Linked DNA regions of Nothobranchius furzeri. The protein of the gene in region 1 binds, or shares a complex with, the protein of each later gene. Links are inferred from orthologs where the notes say so. Each region holds a gene or a part of one and is shown on either strand. Other genes may lie near its edges.

Region 1 (7,424 bases):
TGAAACTCATTGTTTTTGTTGAAAATCTATTAAATCTAAAGACATTATCAAGTCTTTATGTTATTTGTAATATTCTGTTGATGTATAGATGATTGTTTGATAATCTCACTCATTAAATCTTCACGTTCTTTAATAAGGAAACAGTGGAATTCCATTGTAATCACGATTGAGAAGTCAGCCATGCCTCTGAAAGATATGTGTATAGGCTTTGCAGGTTTAATGACGTATCCTGAGTGTTACTTTCATTGCGCCGGTTGAAGTGAGCTGACGGGACGCCGGCGGGAGAACGTGTTTTTGGGGCGGGACCGCGTGAGGACTGGCGAAGTTGAGGGCGGGGCGGGTGGGCGACTGGCGCTGGGGGCTTGGAACCCGTTGATAACTGCTTGCAGTTCTAGTTACATTTTGTTTTTGTGAAGCGCCTCCTGATTTTTATCTTGAGAGGCGCTATAGAAATAATATCTTCTTCTTCTTCTTCTTCGTTGTTTCATGTATGCTCTGGTAACATTCTGCGCATTTGCTGCATACACCTCAGCTAAACTCTTAATTTCGAATGCAACTTCGGGCTGAGCAGAGCTTTGGATAGTAAGTGGCTAAAGAAGGTTTAAGGAATGCATTGAACTAGTGTGATTGAACTCCGCTATCATCAGTCTACCATACTCTGACAGAGCATCATCTATCCGGATGTGGCGGTTGATTGAACAGTTTCTCAAGGTAAGTTGCTACTTCTTCATCAAGGTCACTGTTGGAAAGTCCTTTTATGATTACCAAGTTAGGGATTTTAATAGATTCTTTAATTACCATGTCCATTTTAATGGATTTAATTTAATATAGTTCCTATCGTTGTAATGTTAGTGAGTCTCATTCAATTTCACAACATCTCCATGTTGTAACACCCTCCCTTCACTTTCTTTGTTATTTGAGTATCTTACAGGTTAGATACATTTAAAGTAAAAAAGCTTAGAAAAATCGGATTTGTGGACCAGAAGGTTTGGCAACTTCAGAAGATTGGAATGAATGAGACTCAGACAATAGTGATAAAGCTGAAAATGCTGGCTGGACATTTTTTATATAACTAATGGCCAATAAAAGAAATAAAATGTTTTAACAAACAGTTCTTTGTCTTTTTTATTTTGGTACCAGTTAGGGATGTGCAAGTACACAGCTATCTGTATCTGTATCTGTTCAACCATCTAAATTATCTGTATCTGTACTCGGAGTGGGTGTGGCCTAACTCGGAAGTGGGTGTGGTTTACATCAATACATTATTTTAAGTCTGAAATTGATATGGATTGATCAGAAGTTGCTATGTGTGTTTATTTGAAAACTATTTACAGAGCAGCCTCAGAACTTAGATTAAATATTTTTAATCACAATAGTAAAGGAACTATTACAGAATAAGTTTTTCAATGAAATCAGAACATTGATATTTAAGTTCATGAATTAATACACACAGAGAGAGAGAGAGAGAGAGAGAGAGAGAGAGAGAGAGTAAACCCGACCGGAGGCAGTGACCGATGCATGCACGAGCCGTTTTCAGCTGTCTTGTCAAATGCACCACGTACGTTACGAAAAAAGTAACTTTAAATATTAAGCCGAAAAAGAGGCGAGCTGAAGAAAACCTGGCCGCCTGGTGGTGGTGTTAACTCTGCTAACCTGAGCTACCCAATGCTGGACGATGCTGCCCCGTCCTTCCAATCAATCTGCTCGGAGCCTGCACCACCCCTTAGGGTTGCTCTCCAGAACGTACGTTCAATTGGAAATAAAACAGCCATTTTAAAGGATTATTTCGTCGATCACAAGCTAAACCTGTTCTGCATGACGGAGTCCTGGGTCGCGCCTGGTGAGTCGGCTGCTCTCTCAGAACTTTGTCCTTTGCAATGTTCAGTGCTCAACGTGCCTAGACTTTCCGGTCGTGGTGGGGGTCTACTAACTCTGTTTGATTCTACCCTCCACCTGAAACGACTCTCGGCCTCTGTGACTCCAAGTAGCTTTGAATTATCACTTTTTGAGCTGGATTTTAGCTCCCCAGTGCTGTTCTTACTTTGTTACCACCCACCAAAGTACAATTCTAACTTTTTAAATGAATTTTCTGACATCTTAGCAGAGTTTCTTCCGAAATATGATAGAGTGATTATCCTTGGCGATTTTAATATTCACATTTGTTGTCCTGCGAAGCCTTTCCGCTTGGTGATGCCGCTCGCGGATGGAACGCGCTTCACAACTTGCAGCGTAAGACACACACACACACACACACACACACACACACACACACACACACACACACACACACACACACACACACACACACACACACACACACACACACACACACACAAACGCTTGAAAGGCACTGCCTCACACACACTTCCCATGTTAACCATGATACTTATGTTACCTTCGAACCCATGTTACCAGCGTTAGCAGCGTATTCATGTTATGCGTGTATCTCTTTTACTCATTTTACTTATAAGTCAATGTTACCTGTGTATCCATGTCTCTGGGCTCTTGGGGAACTTGGTGAGTGTCAGCTTTCCAAGGTACAGATCCCTCTCTGGGCTAAGAGCACCACACTGCAGCAACTCTTTCCTGTAATACACACACATTACTCAGCTGTATGTAGCACTCATTTAAAGGGGCCATGTAATGAAGAATCCACTTTTCTGAGCTTTATACCATGTGATATTTTTATTTCCTAATGAATAATACCCACAAACCTATTGTTGACTGCATTCATGCATTTCCCTGTATCAGCTGCAAATTTAGCATTTTACTTTGAAAATTCTGAAAATGCCTGAATGAAAACTACTTGCATCATCAGGCATTTCACCTCCCTGTCTTTGTTTTAAAACATAGGTATTCTGTGGATATTCTGGCAAATTACTTCTGCACTGGGGATAAAACACCACTGTATAAACCATGCATCCTGTCTACATAGCTGCACTTATAGGTCAGCAAAGGAAATGTATGTTAGGCGACTATCGCTTTCTAACAGACTCCATGGTCCAGTGGTTGGACTGGCATGTTGTTTTGCACAGGTTCACCTCTCAGTCGTGGCAGTAACTTTATTCTTTAGTAGCTACACTTGCCAGTATAATTCTCAGCCTTTATTGGTAAACTAGTTAAAAAATAAGGACTAAGTGTATTTTTTTTTTACTTTCCTTGTATTTAGCCAGTGTGAGTCCATGTGAGGTGGACTCACACTGGCTATAAAATCAAACTTCATAGCTTAACGTAAACCAAATTCTTTTGCATCCAGAACTCAGCTCTCCTAGATACGGAAGTTCTGATAACATCACATTCACACATAGGTTCATACATCACATCTAGTTCCATCCATCACAGTAAAATGTTAGTTAATGTTTTAATTGTTGGTAAAATAAATTTTTACTTTTATAAACCTGACTGTTTTCTGAATCAAAACAAAGTGTGTACAATCCCCTGATAAAGCAAGATCCCTAGATCTTCTGATTAAACACCGTAAAGACCAAGCAGGGTTGATATTCTATATTTATATAGAGTATCACAGCTTATTGGTCATAAGTAGAGGTAATATGTATTGAGCTCTTAAAGCACTCAATTTACCAAACCCTACATATTGGCAGAAGTCAGCCAGACTTTATTAGAATTGTCCACTTCGTGTTGGTTCTGATCCATTAATTATTCCTTAAAAAACTATTATTTTCTGTCTGGGTGGAAAACGAGGGCAATCTCATTATTCGCCATCTGGGGACGCTGTCCCTACCTATTTCCCAAAACCCGGAGACTCCCGTCCCCCACCAGGGGCGCTACCCTCCCTTGCAGTCTATGTGTCTATAGCGAAGCTACAGTTTAAAACTGCAAGAGATTAACTGTGTGTTGATTTAAAGGTAAATACATTTGTGATCGAGTTTGTCACGTCCTTTGAGTGATTCTGCTACGTTTATTTGTGTGGTTTTGTCACCGTTGAAAAGCTTGTGTTACATGAGTCAGGAAATGCTGATCTCCACTTAGCATTAAGCTACCTCTGATTCCGATCTGATCAATCGTGAATCACTCAACATTTTCCGACGAGAATTCTGGACATTAATTCTGTGCTCGGAATTAACCAGGGATGCCTGAAGCAGAAATAAGTGCTTTATTGCCCGCTGCTTTGATTAGCTGAAGAAAGCTCATCTTAAGCCCATACCGGAAGAGCGTAGCGAGATATATATACCGCAAATTACACGCTATACTGACAAATTAGCACGAGAACCTGTGGGAGGAATACCGTGGTCGAAGGGCTGATTCCCGTGAGAATTACGCCAAGAGACACACCTCACAAAGACCTCCAAGCCTGTTAGCTTGGTGAGCTAAATATTAGCAAGCTAAACATTAGCAAGGCCTGACAACACCCGCGAGCTTGGTGAGCTAAATATTAGCAAGCTAAATATTAGCAAGGCCTGACAAGGCCGGCGAGCTTGGTGAGCTAAATATTAGCAAGCTAAACATTAGCAAGGCCTGACAATGCCCGCGAGCTTGGTGAGCTAAATATTAGCAAGCTAAACATTAGCAAGGCCTGACAATGCCTGCGAGCTTGGTGAGCTAAATATTAGCAAGCTAAATATTAGCAAGGCCTGATAAGGCCGGCGAGCTTGGTGAGCTAAATATTAGCAAGCTAAATATTAGCAAGGCCTGACAATGCCCGCGAGCTTGGTGAGCTAAATATTAGCAAGCTAAATATTAGCAAGGCCTGATAAGGCCGGCGAGCTTGGTGAGCTAAATATTAGCAAGCTAAATATTAGCAAGGCCTGACAACGCCCGCGAGCTTGGTGAGCTAAATATTAGCAAGCTAAATATTAGCAAGGCCTGACAACGCCCGCAAACACAAATCCAGGGGCACCGTCAACCGTTCGACGCGGCGTTTGTCCTCGTCATAACTCGCTATACTCTACAAAACAAGCTCTCCGCATGTTTTTAGTAGTTTTGGGCGTATTTTTGACTTTTATTGTGAGAAGACTGTCTCCACCAGGCCCGTCCACCATTTTGGACGGCATCACTGTGCATAACGGAGTGACGCTCACTACCCCTCCCGCACTGTTGCCTAGCGCTCTAAGGTGAGGTGCTCCATCTTGTGGCACCTCTCGTACATTACACTCTTTTTGTGTTTTCTGGTACATTACACTTAAATTAATGACAAAACAATGTCTGAGGAAGAGCTTGGTTTTTCCACTGTGGGGAAAGGAATCATCAATTCTGTTTTAATATGTATAGGTTCTGCAAACCTCAATGCTTGTGGCTACGACGAGTCCTTTGAGCATCTTACACCAGGTGACCTATTAAAGAAGCTGCAGGAGAATGCAGCTGCCTTACCCGGCGAGGGTGAGAGTCAAAACAACAACCCGCACGGAGAACCTGGGACGGTTTGCTGTTCTTCTAGCTCACCTCTGGGATAAGGAAGTTGAGTCACGTGGCTACACAAGGTGCGATGCGCACGCTTTCTGAGCAGAGGCATAGAGGTGGAGCCAGCGGCTCCGTCTCTGACGATGAGTCTAGCAGAAAGGAGCTGGATGAAGCTCTAAAAGAGAATGCAGTGTTGTTGGATAAGAAATCGAGAGCAGAAAGTCAAGTTGCTGTTTTGGAGGATGAGAAAAATGCTCTGAAGATTGATCTCTTCAAAATCAGGAATGACATACGTGAGCGGGATATTGAAATTGCTGATTTAAAATCACAGATTTCTGCGCTCACTGGAGAAAGAAGGGGGACCCCTTCAACCCTCCCGGTTCCACCTGCTCCTCCACCTGCCACTCCACCTGCCGTCGCGGCTGGTGTGGTTTTGCCAGCTCTCCAGCTGACTGAACCACACCCACCTCCTTCAGCACCACTGCCCCCATCTGGTGGTGTGGCTGAACTGGTTCCCCAGTCAGCTCCACCACACCCACTGGGGCCTCCAGCCCCACATTACCCACCTGCTGCTGCGGTGATGGTTCCAGCTCCCCAACCAGCTCAACAATACCTTCCTGCTGCTCAGCAACATTACCCACCAGCGGCTCAACATTATCCACCAGCTGCTGCGATGTTCGGGCCAGCTTTCCAGCCAGCCCAACCACATTCACCTGTGACCGTGGCTGACATCTATAGGATGTCTCGTGGTGTCAAGAGATTCAGTCCTCGACCAGGTAATTCATACCCAGTTGATACGTATCTTAGTGACCTTCGACACCATTTTCAGAGATCTCCTGGAGTGTATAGGCATTGGCGCATCACTACCCATGGGTTCAAAAGCTCCTACTGACATTTTGACGACAATGGAAATTACTTTCTCACTTAACTGATTACACTGGGGCAAAAAATATTTGGCAGCCACCGACTGTTGAAGTTGTTCCACTTAAAGATGACAGAGGTCTGTATTCTTCATCATAGGTAGACTTTTTAAAAAATCCAGGAAGTGATGATGTGTGATTTTAGATTCCCTTGTTTCCTCCACTTAATAGCTGTTCAAGAGCACTTGTTTGAACTATCTGTATAAAAGTCACCTGTCCATACATTCATACAGACCTGGCGCACTCACATCTGGGTCGGCATGAGCAGGTTTTGTTCACAGCCTTCTCGGGAATGCAGGAATCTCCTAGCACATGGGTGGGGCAAAAGAGAAGTCCGTGGTGTGCTCCTTAATTAGTAAACAACGGCGGCCATGAGACTCTGACTCTGAAATCGCTTCCTGCTCTCTCTCGGAGTGAGGATGCTGTGTGTCCTCATGCTGCCGTGGCTGGAGCAGCACTCCCAGAAGCAGTCAGAGGAGATGTTAACTCCAGAGTGATAATGAATCGTGCATTAAGGAAGCCCCTGCTGGATCATTCTAACGGCCAATCTGAGATGGGTATAAATTTCAGCTGACCAATCAGACAGTTCAGCCCAAAGCGGACTGCCACGATAGGAGGTCTGAAAAAAAAGGTTGGTTGGGCAGAAAAAAACACACAGGCTACCCAGATAATATACGCTACCAGGGTGGGTCCGTGCGACCCAGATGTGAAAGCACCAAAGACTTCAACCTTCACCATGACCAGATCGCTGTCTAAGGACAACAGGGACAAAATTGTACAAGACTGGGATGAACCCATCTACATTAGGCCAGCAGCTCAACATCTGGAGCAATTATTACAAGATCTCTGTCAGGCTCCCTCGACCATGCAAAACCTCATGTTGTGGGGTACAAATGTTCTTGAGGATGGTGAGGAAACAGCCCAGAACTACACAGGGGAAACTGTAACCTGGAGAGAGCTCAGACAACAGTGGCATACTTCATCGTCATAGATTAAAATCCCAAGAAGACTGATCCGTGTTAGGGAAAGACTGAATGGGGCCATGTATTGTAGGAGTTTGGGCAAAAACCTCCTTCCATCAGTGAGAGTATTGAAGATAAAACGTGGCAACAAAGGAGTGGCTACTCCCTCCAGTATCCACACCTC
Region 2 (8,167 bases), about 35 Mb from region 1:
TTCACATGACAGTCATCATGGACCTTGTAGACTGGTGTGAGCATAACCACCTTCAATTAAACACCAGTAAAACAAAGGAAATGGTGATTGGCTTCCAGAGAAACACTCCTCCTCACTCACCGGTAAACATCCAGGTGCAGACGTTGAGGTGGTGGATACCATTAGTGTTCACGTCATCAGTAAACTGAACTGGTCCAACAACACAGATGCTCTGTATTCCTGAGGAGGCTGAGGTCCATCAGATTTAATTCACATCTGCTAAAATTCTTTTATCACTCTGCTGTCAGCTCTGTTATTCATTCTGCCGTGGTCTGTTGGGGTGCAGGCAGCTCTGACCGAGACAGGAGGAGACTGAACAAGCTAGTAAAATAAAGCTAGCTCTGTTCTGGGCTGCCAACTAGATTCAGCTGAGGATGATGTGTGGAAGGAGGATGCTAAGGAAGATGACCTCCATCTTGGGAAACCCCTCCTACCCACCGTGTTCCATTGTGGGGACCATGGACAGCTCCTTCAGAGGTAGACTAAGACATCCCAGATGTAAAACAGAACACTACCGTAGGTCATTCATCCCCTCTGCAGTAATAGTGCGTAAATTGTCAGTTTAACTGGTACTGGCATTATCCTGGTACACAATGACATCAGTGTGGTATTCAGTATGTGTTCAATACTTGTGCAGTACCTGACGTAATATGTCTGAGTTCATTATGCTGCATAGTTCTGGAAACCCAAGTTTCCTTTTCATTCATTGTTTTTAGTGGTTGAAGGTTACACAAATAAATAAATAAACATAAATAAACATTGATAGCTCATTACCTTTGTGTGTTTATCTGAAATCTCGTTATTATTCTCTTCTTCCTTTTTTCTCTAAGCAGATGTGCTGCTTTAGTCGGTGTGGGGTTAATAAAGTCTATTATATTTTATTTTATTTGCAGATGACAATAATAGTTTTTATTCTGGGGTATGGCTCAAAATAATTGCAGAAAGTGTGGTTTGTGAGATGTCTAAAATTAAAACGTAGCTTAAAATAATTTATTAATTATGAAATGCAACAAAAAACATTACGGACGTTATTTTTTAGAATAAAAAAATGTTACTTTTAGTAGAAATTTTGAGTCACAAAACTTAGTTGCATATGATGCAAAAAGTTTATAAATCCATGGAAATTTCCAAAACGTGTGTTTTAGAACTATCAGCGCAACACATTTTATATTATTCACTTCATTCACACCTGAGTTTCTGTTTAAAGAAGTTAGAGTTCACACACGCGATCAATACTAATCCCTAGTTTGTATTTAAAGAAAATATATCAACTAAATGAATAATATTTAAGACTAATGACATTGTTTGCAGTAATGTATTTGTAGAGATGCTTATTTAAGCACAACCAGATGGAAATAATTGTCTTATAAGTAAAACAGGAACAGGTTTGTTTAGAACTGCTGTTGGAGTTTTGATTTAATTTATTAATGACTACATTTGGATAAGTAAACTAAATAAATGGGATTAAATATCAAACTCTATATTGTTACAGTAAAGGAAGTGAGCTGGAAAATTGTTGTTTTTGCAGATTTGCTGTAAGATTTTCCTCATAAAATAAGACCTTTCTAGGAAAATCTGTGACTCTTTTTCAGCCACTTAGCTCAAATGAGATTGCTTCCTCTGCTGTCTAAATCTAGCTCTCACAAACACACAGAGAGAGATGAACTGTTACCTTTTCCATCCTTTCACAGTGAGGGTTAAATCCTGGACGCGCCGCTGACCATCGGTGCTCTGCAGCAGAACTTTAATGGAGTCTGGAGTTCCCCGTTTGTCCTCTATGAATGTTTTTTCTCTGTGCCCATTCACAACGTTAGAAATAATTGATTCTGCAAATGAGACGTCAGACCTATCAGGCCTTTTTCCCCCATGTGTCATCTACATATTGCTCGATGAAAGTTCTCCACAGTGCTTTTTAAGACCTGGCTGGTAAACTCTGAAAGGATATCATCAAAATACCACCTCCCCCAAAAAAACCCAATCTTTAAATAATCTACGGGCTTTTGTTCATTCTTGCAGTACAAGAAGTCATTTGGTGCAAAAATGAAGAATTTGGAATCTTATGCATATTTTATGGCAGAGTGTAAAGAGCGATCTGGAAGAAAAATGTTTAAGATTCAAAGTGATTTAAAAAAAAAGCTACAGCTTCACTCTGAAAAACTGCCTTGTTGACCCCCAAAAAGTGTAGGCTATACTATTAACTTTCTGCATAACATTCTTAATGTTTCGTCCCAGGACAAAAAACACGTTAAAATAAAATCCAGAGCACTGATTTGGAATAAAAAAAAGAACAAAAATGAAGATAGATTATTCAAACTTCCCATTAGAGTCTGAAATCCTCCTGGACAAGGTTGTCTGTGAGCAAAACTAGAGCTAATTCCAGGAAAGATGTTTCCCTTCCTCCCGTGGTGTAGCTGATCCAACAGATGCATCTGAAGCCTTAGCAGTTCCCATTTTATGTTACCTGGGAAATTAGCAACAGGCACACTACTGACATGGAAAACACTTACTTACCGTAAGTTAAGTGGCCAGGAGGAAATTGTTAAATGGACCAACATTACCACAGAGGAGATCAGTTGATGGCGCCATGTTTTTGCTTGGCAAAATGACTGGTAGATGAAAAAGAAAACAGTATTATTGATTTTAAAAAACCGTCTTGTATTTTTATTACGACTTCTCAATTAGCTTAGACATTCTTCAGAAAGCAGCAACCAGACAATAGCAGATTTTAAAGTTTTTGAAGCATTAGGACAAATTAGTTAAAGGACTCAAATGAAATTACTGCATAAAAAATCCTGTGCAAACAAAATAACCGAATATTTACAGGGAGTGAGAACATCAATGATAATAATATTATTATTATTTAATATTATAGATTATTATTATTATTATTGCTGTTGTTGTTAACATTAATAGAGTATTTATTAGTAACCCTGAAAAATATTCAGAGGAAAAAAATAACAAAAATGTTCTTTTCCCTAATTTGGAACAAAATATAATAAAGTGGAGCATCCTCTGTAATGAGCAAATGCCTTTAAAAATTCTATTATTCCATATTTAGTTTAGTTTTCTTTTCCCTCTTCATAGTTTTCAAGTCCTCAAAATCCTCCAAAAGGATCTGGCGCGCTTTTATTAACGCAGGCGGAGCCGTTTTCCCAAACACGGAAGTGACGTCAAAACGCTCATGTAGATGGGAACGTCTACTGGTTCTGACGTGGAAACTGATTACTGAAGTACAAATTCTCCCTTTGAGACAACACTGATAATTCTTGCAGTCGCGCTGTAGAGCCTCTTGTTGATCTTTTTTGTTGTTCTGGTTTAAATCGGGTGTTTCGCTGCTGAATCTTCCGGTGAGTTTGGCTCAGGCCTCTTCTACAATGTAGCATATCTGGTTAGCTTATTTAACTCATGAAGCTGAATTAAAACGGGTTCGTCTTTACAAATAAACAAAAACATACAAAACAAGTTACCAGAAGCTAAGTCAAGCAAACAGCCTGCTAGCTGTCAGTACTTTCGCTCGTAAGCTAAGTCTGTTTCGCTTCTAGCAAGTTTAGCAGGGACGCTAACCAGCTGCTGGCTAACAGGTAATACTCTCGTGATTGTGACCGCTCTACAGACCTGAGCTGATCCGGTGGTATCATGAAGCTCTACAGCCTCAGCGTCCACTATAAAGGGTCGACCAAAGCCAATCTCCTGAAAGCGGCCTATGACCTGTCATCCTTCAGCTTCTTCCAGCGCTCCAGGTGCCTCCCAGTATTTACGTATAGATTAAACGCTCTAGTCTTTGTTGGTGTTAATGGTGTTTGAAGTATTTGGTACTAAAACTCTGTCAAACGCCTAAACTCGTGGATCACATATCATACTTGCTTACTGTTTTCATTAGACTACCATCAGTGATGATGTTTTATTTTGTAAATTCAGTGTTCAAGAGTTCATGACCTTCACCAGTGCACTGATTGTTGAACGAACATCTCAAGGAACCCGTGCCTCCGTCAAAGAACAAGGTAAGGCTGGTGTGGTCCGTTTTAAAGACTTGTATTTGATCTTCTACCTGGTCATGACGACAAAACCATGTTGGGTTCTCAGGAGTAAGAACAAGAGTGTAAAGGATCTTTTAGATGTTAAGAAAAACATTGATGTTGAGGTTATTTTCTACATGTTTTCTCACTTTTTTCTGTCAGTTTGAAGTTGAGAATAAAGACATAACGCACAAAGTAGCAAATGAAGCTTCTTTGTTTATCCATAACTAAAGAGAAACAAAAATGTGGACTTTTTAAAATAAATAAAAATACTAAATATTAGTATTTTAAAAAGCTTATTTTTTTCTTGGTATTTCATTAAGATATACATATATATATATATTTTAAAATGTTGGCTTATATAAATATTTCATAATTATTCTTAAAAATAGTAGCTTTAGTCCTCGCTGTATCAAAAAGCACGAACTGCCCATCCTGTATTGATCGTGACAGATTCCCTTTTGCATTATTTTGCTAAACATCACTATTTATTTCTGAGTCCCAAAGATCCTCAGTGGGTTTCAGGTTGGGAATCTGGTGTCCAGAATAAAATGATGTCTCATGATCCCTGAACCAGCCTTTCACAGTTGACATTGTTATATACATTTATATATTGTATATTATTTATTTATTATTTATTTGTTTGCTCTGTTAAATCCGGCTTGTGACTTGTTTTTGAACAGGCAGTGTTTGATCTAAACGTGGCTGAGTGTCAGTAACTGGATGTTAAACTTTCTACATGGCCTAGTGGTAGAGTGTCCACCCTGGGACTGGGAGATCAGGTTCAGATCCCAGGCAGGTCATGCCAAAGTCTTTAAAAATGGGACCCAATGATTGACGCTCAGCTTTAAGGGGTTGGATTGGGGGGTTAGACCACCAAATAGTTCCAGAGCACAGCCACTGCTGCAGCTCACCGCTCCCCACGTGCTGCAAACAGGATAGCCGTCCTCTATCAGCTGTCCCTCGGCATTCTTCAAATATCCAAAAAATGCCGTACTTCCCACTTTGTCTTCTTTGAGGGATAATAAATGTCCTCCTGAGCGCTGCCGTCTCCTCCTTTGGCCATTATTTCAGCTTTAGCTTCAAGAAAGTTTTGGTTGTAAACAACAAAGTGCGCATGTGCCGCCGGCAACTTCAGCAGATGATACGGTGGCTGGTAAGGGTCACCACGCCTACACCGCAGCCACGGTGATCCACCGAGATAATATAGTTTTTAAACAAGACGGTTATTGTTACGTCCCCGACGGGTGTTGTAAGAATGTGAAGGATGGGGGTAACATAAGAACTGGCGGAGGAGTTTAAAATGGGTTTAATGGTAACAAAAAGGTATTAAAAAAAAAGCAAACAGATCTCTCTAAAAGGTTAACATTACACAGCAAATTATCAGCTATAAAACACCGGGTTAAAACTTATATTAAAAGCTTCACCACACGAAGGTGTTTAAAAACCGAGGTCAGTAAAATTGCACAAACCAAGTTAACCTTAAAACCAAACAGCCAAAAAGATCCCACTGGATCGTCCAGAAAAACTTATCACCAAGAGTTCAAAACTGCCAAAGTTTAAAACTCGTCCAAACGAAAGGGGTTGAAAACAAACAAAACCGGGAGGACAGCAGAACCCCTGCACTGCTGAGGGCACAGCCCTTTTATCCAGGTGTTTGCTCATCAGGTAGATTCCTCGCAGCTGTGCTCCTCAGCAGCCCGGGAGAGACGAGGAGGAGGGGCGGTGTCGGGCTGCTTCTCTCCACTGGCCACACTGGCAACCGTAACAGTTATTATTACTGTCAACTTCTTTTACCGGGGTTTACCGCTACACCGGTTACCGTGACAACCCGAGATTTGACTTATTTCCACTTCTGCAGAGTACCTGTGCCATGTGTACGTGAGAAACGACAACTTGGGTGGTGTGGTGATCGCAGACACTGAATATCCACAGAGGGTCTGCTTCACGCTGCTTGAAAAGGTGAGTAAAACGTTTAGCGTGCTGCTGCAGCGCTTTGCTCTGAACAGCAGCTTTTAGACTGCTCTGTCTCTCAGGTATTAGATGAGTTCTCCAGGCAAGTGGACAGTGTAGACTGGCCATCCGGGAGTCCTGACACCGTCCACTACAAAGCTCTGGACATTCACCTTTCTAAGTACCAGGTTAGTTAAACGGCGTCACACACCATCGTGTATTTTATCATATTTGTGGCTTTTTATGAATCTCGTCAAACAGATTCTTACAGCTGATCATCTGTTTCCCCCTCAGAATCCCAGAGAAGCTGATGCAATGACCAAAGTGCAGGCAGAGCTGGATGAGACCAAGATCATTTTGGTAAAATACGTTCACATTCTTTAAAGGCCAGCTCCTCTGAGAAACTTTTATTTTATTTGTTTGTTTACTTCTTTTTGAAAGTAAGTCACTGAGAGTTTAGGATGCAGGCTGAAGAAGAAAATAGTCTCTTACACCTATTTCCTGCTTTAGCTTCTGATAGAATACAGACAGAAAACGCTCGGGTGTGTAGTCGTGCACACGCATCAGCGGAGACGTTCACCTTTCAGACCTCTCCATCGCCTGGACTGTTGCCAAGCAGTTCCCCGTTGATGGCTCTGCTGTTGACAGATTTAAAGGAAGTGGCATCCTGATCATTCGCAGACTTGCGGTTTCTGTTGTTTTCAAAAGAAAGTAAAAAATGTGGGCGTGTCTCCGTCACCCTCTTTTCAGGCTATTGCATCAGCGGCGCTTCGTCTCCATCACAGAGCTGATGTAAACATATAGACTAGGCTGTAGGAGTCTGAGCCGCGGCTGTGGTTCGATGGCAAATGTGTCATCGTGTTGGAATGTGACAGGAGCTGTTTAACCCTCGGGGGTCCGTGGACGCGCATCCGCGTCTTTAACAGGTCTGATTTGGGACGCTGTAGCAGCAAGACTCCGCCTCCCTGAGTTTCGGTTTCAATTCAGCTTTAAAAAGGAGATTTTAAACTACACCCCAGTTTTTAAATGTTGTTAATAGGCAACGTAAAAGCGGAGTTATGCTAAACTAAAAAAACGACCTATTTTTAGACAATCTGATAACTTGTCAAAACAGCAGTTTAATGATCCGTGAGAGGGAACGTGCTTGTGAACATAAAAACATGAGATCCTGTTGCTGTTGGTGGAAGTCTCACATATTCAGCTGATAAAAAGCATCATTATGTAGCTGAGAGAGAGAGGAAGGCTGCACGAGTAACGAGGTGTGCGCCAAAAGGAGCCGCTTGGCGGGGAAAGGAGTGGCGCCAACGGAGTAACAACAAACAATTAGACAGATATTGACGGTAAACTTCATATTTTGGAGCGATCCGGACAGATATATCGTCTCTGCAGTTTAGTGGGCTTTTATTAGGCTTTAATAAAGGATGATGAGAAGGATAAATGTCCACCAGGCAGGTCAGATAGTACGGCTGTTTTTGGAACTGGAAGCAGAGGAAGTGGGCGGAGACTCACAGCCGGAGTTTGAGGCAAATAGCGAGGATGTTGATGACGATGTGGCGGATCCATCCTTCCTCATAGAAGAGTTGGGTCATGATGAGGTAGAGGATGACGGCAGAGATCCAGCTCCTCGGAGATCCAACGAGACGAGTGGGCGGCGCCGCGCAGCTGTCAGATCTCGATCTCCGCGGCGTGAGACAGAGCCACTCCCCACTCCAAAATGCATGTACATTATTGCCAAATCAATAAAATTAGTATAAATTCAGATAGTCCAGACTGTCCTGAAAAAATTATGCCCCATAAGGCAAAATTTGTTTTTACTAGAAAAACCAAAATGAGTCAAAAACGGTGATTTACATCCTGGACCCCAGAGGGCTAATAATTTATTTTTAATGTGTTATTTGCTATATTTATTCATATATTTTTTTTTTATAAATGTACAGCCTAAATTACCATTCTAAATTATAAAAAACATTCGTCATAAATGTTTGTTGGTTTCACAGTAAAATAAACAACTTTTTTCCTATTCGGATTTTATGTTTTTGAGTGATTTAAGGTCTAATATGCAACCCCTTTATGTCCAAATATAAAAAATAAGTATAAATCCATAAAGTCCAGGTTGTGCTGAAAAGATTGATACCACATAAGGCAGTGCTTATGGCTTT
Region 3 (7,975 bases), on another chromosome or scaffold:
AGTTACAGTATCTCCCTAGAAACACTTTCTGTAAATTCTTTCATAATAAAACGCTGTGGCGTTTAGGTCTTAGCAACAGGGGAACTAACTAAACCCTATTTATGCAACATCATGATGGTACTAATGGAATTTGTTCCTAAGCTGTTTGGATCACCACTCACATCAAAATGACAAAAATCCAGTGGTGAAAAAGTTTTCACCAGTAAAAACTTAACTAACAGGAGGTGGCTCACTTTTAGTGAGAGACTCACACAATGTTTTGTTTTGTGGTAAAGGAGCTGATTATGTTAACATTTATTATAGCTGTGTGGTGTTTTTACATATCAGTGATCCCAACTTCCATTTTGCCTCTGAAAAAAGAAATCACATTATCTCTTTGATAGAAATTATTCTACTGGTCTTTGCTTCCCAATTAACCCTAAAATTGCTCAAACTGGACAGAGTAACAGCATCATTTTTGCTAAATCTAATGTGGTCCCTGGTTCACAAGCTCATCAATGACCTTTTCGTTTAAATAGTGTATGTTGGACACGCCGAGTGGAAAAACGCATCAAACATTAAAAACTGTGGACCATTTTGATGACTTTTACCAGTGGTGTCCAACTCTAGGTCCGTATCCTGTAATGTTTTAGTTGTTTCCCTGCTCCAACGGTCTTCGTCACATGGTTGAATCACCTGTTCAGCTGCTCATCAGGCTCTGCATAAGCCTGTTAATCACCTACTGATTAAAATCAGGTGCGTGGCCCTTGAGGACCAGAGTTGGACACCACAGGTGATGGAGCAGCCATCTGGAGGTAAACCACAGCCGCCTCTGCAGCCTCAGGGAGAAACGTTACAGAAGTAATTTAGTTTTACTAAATCTGCAACCACATCAAACACAGTTTAATAACGGAGGTATCAAAGTAGTTTAAAGAACATTTATAACTGAAAAGCTTTTATGTACATTATGTTTTAAGAGCAAGTCACCCCCAAATCAACTTTTTTTTTCGAATAAACTATATAAATGCGTGTCTAATTGTGCTGCAGACACGTGTAGTCAATAGTTTAACACTTTAGTGCATTTCTTGTTAAAATTTTAATTTTCTGCCTAAAACTGTCAGGTAAAAACTCTGCACTGCATTTGAATTTAAATCTGCCATCGCTATTGGCTAAGAGGTACCCTGTATTTGTTAGCGGCTCCGCCCTCTCGGTCTGCTGGGCAACAGCATTTGTTGCATTTTTCAAACAGGAAGTGGGAGTTGAGTACGAATCTGGTAGGGGGTGACTTGCTCTTTAAGCTTTAGATTACAAACCCATCAATGCTTGTTTAAAAGCTTCTAGATGAACATATTTGATCATTTTTACTATTAACGAGCCAAACACCGCTTCATAAAATACCTGTACCTAAGAAAAAGTTCAACATCCAAACTGATTAGTTTTTTATTTGTGTAAAACAGAAACTTCTGCAATCAAACTTATTATAGTAAAGTTGAATATCTTAAAACTGTGATTTTTAACGCTGAATACAAATATGAGAACGTTACTGAGTGTCTGCAGTAAAATAGTGAAAAACATAACATAAACAAGTTTCCTATTGATGTGAAGCTCATTTCTAAACCGATCTCAAGTTGTCTTAGTGAACATAAGTTATCAGATCTGTAACTGGAACAATGTTTGGCTTCTAAATCAGAAAAAAAAAACACTAGAAATTTGAACACTGGTGTGATTTATTTACTCTGTACCAACGGACACGGATCAGTTCACAACAACAAAACAAACGTTTGACAATAAGACAATAAAAGTGAAGAATTTACGACTCAAATGTTTAACAGAAATTTCCCAGAATCCTTAGAGAGCTGTGAATAGGTTTAATAAATAGTGAATAAAGCTGTAAACGTAGAATATTGTTTAGTTAGGTTTCCCAGAAAGCCTGTCTGCTGCAAACACCGTTAGTGTCCTCCACATCGCTCTTGCTGCTCATAAAAACGCCTTTTATGATTAAAAAGCAGCTACGTAACTGCTAAGAGTTTAAGGTGCCAAAAACACTTTTTCCTCCCGGCTGAATCCAAAGTTCCACATAAACAATAATATTAATTCTTAGCTGCAGCTGATGGAAGTGATGCATTTAAGTGTAAGGAATGTGTTTTTAAATTATGTTTAAACTTCAACAGCTGAAACACGATACGCTGGATAGAAACGTGAGCAGAGGAAGGATTAAGGCCGAAGAGTGAAACAGAGATGAGTCCGGATCCACTTCCTGCTTCCAGCTGAGGGGAGTTTATGTGAGGGTAGCGGTGTTTGTGAGGATGATGATGGGCTAGCTGAGGAGGTCGGGCTGCAGGTGGACCCTCTGCAGGACGTCCTCCGGCATGCACAGAACCGGATTTACTGCCTTGATCTGCTCGTCGCCGAGGAGAGAGAGACCGGCGATCCCGAACAGAGTGTGGAAAGGATCCACCTGCAGAGGAGAGACCAGAACATTCAGAACACTGGAGGAAAATCTGAGCTCTGCTTTTCAGAACACGTCTCACCACGTCTCCTGGTCGGTCTGCAAAACCTCCCGTCTCCTCGTCCTGACAGGCCAGAATAAACCGCCGCAGCTTGGCTTTGTCGATCCAGTGGATCCGGCCGATGATCTTCAGCGATGCCAGAACCCACCACGAGTAGCAAACATCTGGGAGCTGCGTCAGATGGAGGTTTGATTAAAGACAAGTCTTAAAAAAAGGGTTTCTTTGGTCATTTTTCCAAACAAATCTAAAACCAAACATCATCAGGAGGTGGCAGACCTTCTCTGGTCTCCCGTTGAGGCCTCCAGATGGCAGCTGCCTCTCACAGAGCCACCAGCCCAACAGGTCGGCGTTCAGCTGGTGCAGCTGGCCAGTGAGCGACAGGAAACCAGTGCAGCAGTAAATCTTATGAAAGCGTAAAAAAGCAACAGGGGGTTTAATGTCAGAAGATTTTTCATTCTATTATAAATTGAACCTTTAGGTTTTTTTACATTGTTGTTTGGGGACAAAAACTCACCTGACCAGCGTGAGACTCTGAACCAGGTCTGCAGCCAAAACCTCCATCAAAATTCATACAGGACAGGACGAACTCAACCGCCTTGTCTACGTTTATCGAGTCCATTTTCCCCTGGGAAAGGACAGATGAAGACTAGAAAGTAATCTTCAGAGGTATGGTTAATCTGACTAAATAACAAACTCACGACCTCCTTTAAAAAGTTCACAGACATCAGGAAAAAAGATGCAACTGAGTGAGTTTTATCACAGAACTGTTGGTTCAGCCTGCATTACGGTTATTTTCAGACAAACCCGTACGTACCAGTAACGCTAGCGTAGCAACCGCACAGAAAGAAAAGCGTGTGTCTATTTCTCCTGAAAAGAACGAAAACTTCAGTTACGATAAAGATCTTTAAATAATCTTATAGTTAAAGCTTGTGCACAATTCCAGATGCAGCTCCTTATTCTCAGACATCTAAGAGTTTGTTGTGCAGGTTTCTCTAAAGAGCTGCTTTGCTTTGTGAAAATGACTTTTTATTTTTACTCTAAATGAAAGAGAGAGTAAAGCTCGCTCACCCCATTTGTCCCCTGCAAAAGAGCCATCCTCCTGCTGAAGCCCTTTCACATATTCCACCACTTTGTCAACATCGATCGCATCCAGGCTGTCATACAAGCACAAGATCTGAGAAAGACGTGTAAAAATAAAAAGATGTCAACTAAAAACCTTAAAGAAAAACACATGTGATCGTTTAGCTCATCTGAGTTTTCCTCACATCCTTAGCATTTGTGATTTATTATAATGAGGCTTTGTGTCACCTGGATGGCGCTGAGGGTGTACAGCAGGTGTGGGTCATGTCCAATACTGGCGCTGACGCCTCCACACTCGTGTTGGCAGGCTTTGATGAAGTCTATGATCTCCTGACGGCTCATCCTGGGCAGCTGACCCATCAGATCCATCACCGTCAGCCCCCAGTAGATACCGCTCATCCTCAGGTACTCTGACAGTGTGTACTCCTGCAGCACAGAGGTGTCAGATTTCATTAACACCAAAGACCAGGTACAGTTTGATTTTGGGTTTAAAACATTATTTAATTCCTGTTGCAAAAACCCGTTAAACCAAAGTAAAATTTCTTATTTGTGCACACAATCTTAACCAGTGAATCAGATGATCAGGCTGCTGTAGTTGCTGAGAGTTGTGGAGGGCAGTTCAAAATTTTGCCTTCTTGGCAATCTGTTTTGGGTCCAGGGGAGATCCCCACTGATGTGGGTGCTCATGAGACGTGAGGGCCGTCTCTTTAGTCTTATAATTATTTTTTAAAATGTACATCTTTGGTTTCTTTAAAGCATTTTCTGTCTTTTTTAATATACTTTGTGGAAAATTGGGACAAAAAACTTACCTTTTAAAACACCTGAATGCATCTTTTATCTTAACCCAAAATAAATAAATAAAACGTTTAAAACTTCTGAAACGAGGTTTTATCGACAGAGGCAGATAAAAACGAGACGACACAAATCCTACAAACTAAGTGTAAATAAAACGTCACTCACATAGTCGTCCTTCTTGGACCCGTAGGCAGCGATGTAATCTGCATGTTTGTCCAGCAGCAGCCAGCTGGGAGCGTCAGGTTTAATGATGACATCTTTTAGTTGAGCACTCTGACAAAAACACAACAGAAACGGTCACAAGACACAACTACGCTGTAGTTAAACGAATACAGGAGGACACATTGTTATGACTAGCTGCTAAATGCTAACAAGGGTAGCATCCACTTCGGCACAGCATTTAAATAAAGAAGACAAGATAACATTTACACACACTTTAATTATAAAACGATGCTCTAAAGCACAGAAGAACAAGTGACGGATTACCATTCTGACATATTTTGCATGGTCAAGCTACTTCCGGCCTTCTTCTTCTACGGTTTTAAATGTCGTATAGTTTCAGACTTTACCGCCACCTTCTGGTTTGATTGAAGTATTACAAGAACAAAATATCAATTTGAGTTATTTATTGTGCGGTTTTGAAATCAAAAATACTAAGTGTTTTGTATTTGTACTTTTAGTGATAGTATAGTAAAAATATGTAACTATTCTAGGGAAAAAACTGGAAAAGTTACTTTTACTTTACTTTTACTTTGCCCATCAGCCAAGGCCAACATTAGAAACCTAGGAGTTATTTTTGATCCAGCTTTAAGTTTAGACTCACGTCAAAACCATCTCCCGCTCTTGTTTCTTTCAACTGAGAAACATTTCAAAAGTCCGTAAACTGGTTTCTACTGCAGATCTGGAAAAAATCATCCATGCCTTTGTGTCATCACGCTTAGACTACTGTAACGCTCTTTTTACTGGTCTCAGCAAAACCTCCCTCTCACGCCTTCAAGCCATCCAAAATGCAGCAGCTGGACTCCTAACCAAATCCAGCAGACGAGCTCACATCACTCCAGTTTTACAGTCCCTCCACTGGCTCCCGGTAGAATATAGAATACAGTTTAAAGTTTTAGTCCTCCTGACCTATAGAGCTCTTAACAACCAGGCTCCAAGCTACCTATCTGAGCTTTTATCCCCACACATCACCTCTCGGAACTTAGATCCACATCTGAAAACCTCCTGGCTGTTCCTCGAACCAGACTGTAAACCAAAGGGGACAGGGCCTTTCAGACTATTGGCCCCAGACTTTGGAACAGTCTACCTTCAAATCTCCGTCTCTCTAACACTGTAGAGGTCTTTAAAAATCATCTAAAAACTCACCTTTTCATCCAGGCGTTACCTCCCTAAATGTTTCAAAAAGATGGTTTTGTTCGAGTTCACACCTTCCCTTTGTTTATACTCATGATTTTATTTTCTACGTTTATCACTGCTATTGTTTTTCAGATGTTTTTATTGGTTAGAGGTATTTGCTCTGATCTTTATCATGTTGTGATTTATATCTGTGAAAGGCGCTATATAAATAAACTTTTACTTATTCATCAAAAAGCTTCCTTTAAATTATACCATTAGCTATCATATTTAAAACACCTATTCTTCAGGAAATACATCAGTAAAGTTTTAACAGAAACTAGATTTAAAAACGGCTACAAATACGTAAAAATGTAACATGACTAACATTTAAAGCGTTAAATGTTTGTTTACAATCAGTACATATAATGGTGATCAGTTTTTTTTTTTCATTAATACATTTAGGATTTCCTTTGTTCACTCATCCAAAAGAATGACCGACATCCATAAAACCAAACCATATAATCCAGAATGAATTTATTAAGTGGACGGCTCAGAAAAATCATACAGCATTACATCCAACATTAGTGAGCAAGTGTGCAGAAGTTTACCATAATGTTGATAATGTCTGCTGAGTGGAACTGGCTGACAGCATGCAGAATTACTTCCACACATTCTAGTGTTAAATGAATTTATACAACTTTACACATTTGACCAGAGTCAGTTGTGTGTTTAAGGCATGACTACAGGCATGAAGACAAGTTAACAAAAATCACAAAGGTGTGAGCCAAGTCTGAACTTTGACCTTCAACCGGATTTTCATTAAAAAAAACATCTTTATCAACAAAACACTCGTGAACGAGAATAACTGCAACAGTTTTAGTTCAGAAACAGATTTCCTTCTAAACACATTTATTTGTATCCTGCTGATGATCATTTCCAACCTGAACAGACTCTCTTTCCTTCACATTCAAAAGATGTTTTTGTACAAAATGTGCTAAACTGGAAACAACACGATTATTTATGTCTTAAAAATGTTTCCTTTTCGTGGTCTGAACTTGTTTGATACTGCAGAGCAGAATGAATCCGTTTTAAGGCAAACAACATCTAGAGCTGCATCCTGAGGCCAGATTAGTTTGACAGGAGCTTATTTATATCCAAAGTACAATATTTAAATGCAGAAGAAGAAAAGTCAAACAGCTGATTTCATTTCTGGAATCTTCCTAGGTGTTCTCTGGCAATGATGAGCCTTTGGATTTGAGCTGTGCCTTCATAGATCTACAAAAGAACAGATTCAATTTAAAATGAAAGCCTCCAGCTTCACCTGCATGCAAAGGCAACACCCACCTGGTAGATCTTTGCATCCCTCATCAGCTTCTCCACCGGGTACTCGCTGTTGAAGCCGTTGCCTCCAAAAATCTGAACGGCATCAGAAGCCACCTGATTGGCGATGTCTCCAGCGAAGGCCTTGGCGATGGAGGCGTAATAAGTGTTTCTGCGACCCTGATCCCGTTCCCAAGCGGACCGCTGGTACGCCATCCGGGCCAGCTCCACCTTCATGGCCATCTCAGCCAGCAGGAACGACACGGCTTGATGCTGCCAGACACAAACAGTTTACCCATCTTGTCAGGTGCATTTCTATTAAAGGATTTCATTAAAAACAAACCTCAGCAATCGCTTTGCCAAATGTCTTCCTCTCCAGGGCGTAGTTAGTGGCTTCATCCAGCGCTCTCTGTGCCAGACCTGTTGCTCCTGCTGCTACCTGCACAGCATCAAGTACAGTAATTAGCCAAAACATACTTCAGTTACCTCTGAGGATTCCACTGGAGGACGTGAACCACAAATCAAAGATCGGCAAATAAAGTTTTTTCCATGTTTTCAATTAGCAACTTGGACACAAACTCATTAAGTGTGGTTGATAGATGCTGGCTCCAGCTGGAGAACCTACTGGTGGTCTGGTGTTGTCAAAGGCACCCATGGCGATTTTGAAACCAGCTCCCTCTGTGATCAGGACGTTCTCCTTGGGTATTCTGACATCTTCAAACGTAATGCCTCTGGTGTCAGAGCACCTCTGGCCCATGTTCATCTCCTGCAGGGGCAAAAGCAAATATAAGATTCCTCTGTTAGCGAGAAAATTTAAAGAAATGAACCTGAGAGCTAATGGAAAGGCTTAAATGTGTCAAACTAAGTGATGTTTCCTTACAGAAAATAAGAATCCCATCCTACCTTCCTTCCTGGTTGAATTCCTGGAGTGTCTGCATCTACAATGAAGCCAGTGA

The links. The genes of interacting proteins can lie anywhere in the genome.
Region 2: the proteins of ptar1 (region 1) and ykt6 are in contact, whole or in part, in a crystal structure (PDB 6J7F), measured with the Homo sapiens proteins. The link is inferred for Nothobranchius furzeri from reciprocal best matches to the Homo sapiens genes PTAR1 and YKT6. Residues at the interface, in NP_001093136.1 of Homo sapiens: Glu31, Gly33, Leu34, Ile35, Pro36, Val48, Val50, Glu51, Lys53, Leu54, Gly55, Ser58, Lys135, Tyr191, His225, Ser228, Met229, His230, Val231, Ser232, Asp233, Phe298, Asp301, Leu302, Ser305, Tyr306, His309; in NP_006546.1 of Homo sapiens: Met1, Ser29, Phe30, Phe31, Asn83, Glu84, Pro86, Gln131, Asn132, Pro133, Arg134, Gln180, Phe184, Arg189, Ser193.
Region 3: the proteins of ptar1 (region 1) and rabggtb are in contact, whole or in part, in a crystal structure (PDB 6O60), measured with the Homo sapiens proteins. The link is inferred for Nothobranchius furzeri from reciprocal best matches to the Homo sapiens genes PTAR1 and RABGGTB. Residues at the interface, in NP_001093136.1 of Homo sapiens: Val61, Lys62, Leu65, Pro66, His69, Leu73, Arg76, Leu97, Asn98, Asp100, Phe101, Thr102, Thr103, Asn106, Lys109, Glu110, Leu113, Ile141, Arg144, Trp145, Pro192, Ser193, Tyr195, Ser199, Ile202, Trp203, Gln206, Val231, Ser232, His234; in NP_004573.2 of Homo sapiens: Lys6, Asp36, Tyr37, Cys40, Met41, Glu43, Tyr44, Ile89, Gly90, His91, Asp92, Asp136, Trp138, Glu140, Phe177, Asp178, Gly182, Cys183, Arg184, Pro185, Gly186, Ser187, Glu188, Ser189, His190, Gln193, Trp217, Glu221, Arg222, Pro225.

Annotation. Positions count from the first base shown.
Region 1 is NC_091757.1:21,246,479-21,253,902, forward strand, and holds part of ptar1 (protein prenyltransferase alpha subunit repeat-containing protein 1), read right to left. Parts: intron 2,587-7,424; coding exon 2,482-2,586; intron 1-2,481.
Region 2 is NC_091757.1:56,088,567-56,096,733, reverse strand, and holds the start of ykt6 (synaptobrevin homolog YKT6), read left to right. Parts: upstream 1-3,193; 5' UTR 3,194-3,386; intron 3,387-3,620; 5' UTR 3,621-3,675; coding exon 3,676-3,779; intron 3,780-3,957; coding exon 3,958-4,040; intron 4,041-5,916; coding exon 5,917-6,017; intron 6,018-6,091; coding exon 6,092-6,196; intron 6,197-6,302; coding exon 6,303-6,368; intron 6,369-8,167. UniProt on the Homo sapiens protein: Vesicular soluble NSF attachment protein receptor (v-SNARE) mediating vesicle docking and fusion to a specific acceptor cellular compartment. Functions in endoplasmic reticulum to Golgi transport; as part of a SNARE complex composed of GOSR1, GOSR2 and STX5.
Region 3 is NC_091751.1:41,397,592-41,405,566, reverse strand, and holds rabggtb (geranylgeranyl transferase type-2 subunit beta), read right to left. Parts: upstream 4,975-7,975; 5' UTR 4,854-4,974; coding exon 4,851-4,853; intron 4,638-4,850; coding exon 4,530-4,637; intron 3,996-4,529; coding exon 3,798-3,995; intron 3,664-3,797; coding exon 3,558-3,663; intron 3,357-3,557; coding exon 3,304-3,356; intron 3,115-3,303; coding exon 3,004-3,114; intron 2,892-3,003; coding exon 2,766-2,891; intron 2,661-2,765; coding exon 2,511-2,660; intron 2,438-2,510; coding exon 2,297-2,437; 3' UTR 1,689-2,296; downstream 1-1,688. Other genes in the region: acadm (medium-chain specific acyl-CoA dehydrogenase, mitochondrial), read right to left, coding at 6,903-6,974, 7,044-7,292, 7,363-7,458, 7,645-7,785, 7,923-7,975. UniProt on the Homo sapiens protein: Catalyzes the transfer of a geranylgeranyl moiety from geranylgeranyl diphosphate to both cysteines of Rab proteins with the C-terminal sequence -XXCC, -XCXC and -CCXX, such as RAB1A, RAB3A, RAB5A and RAB7A.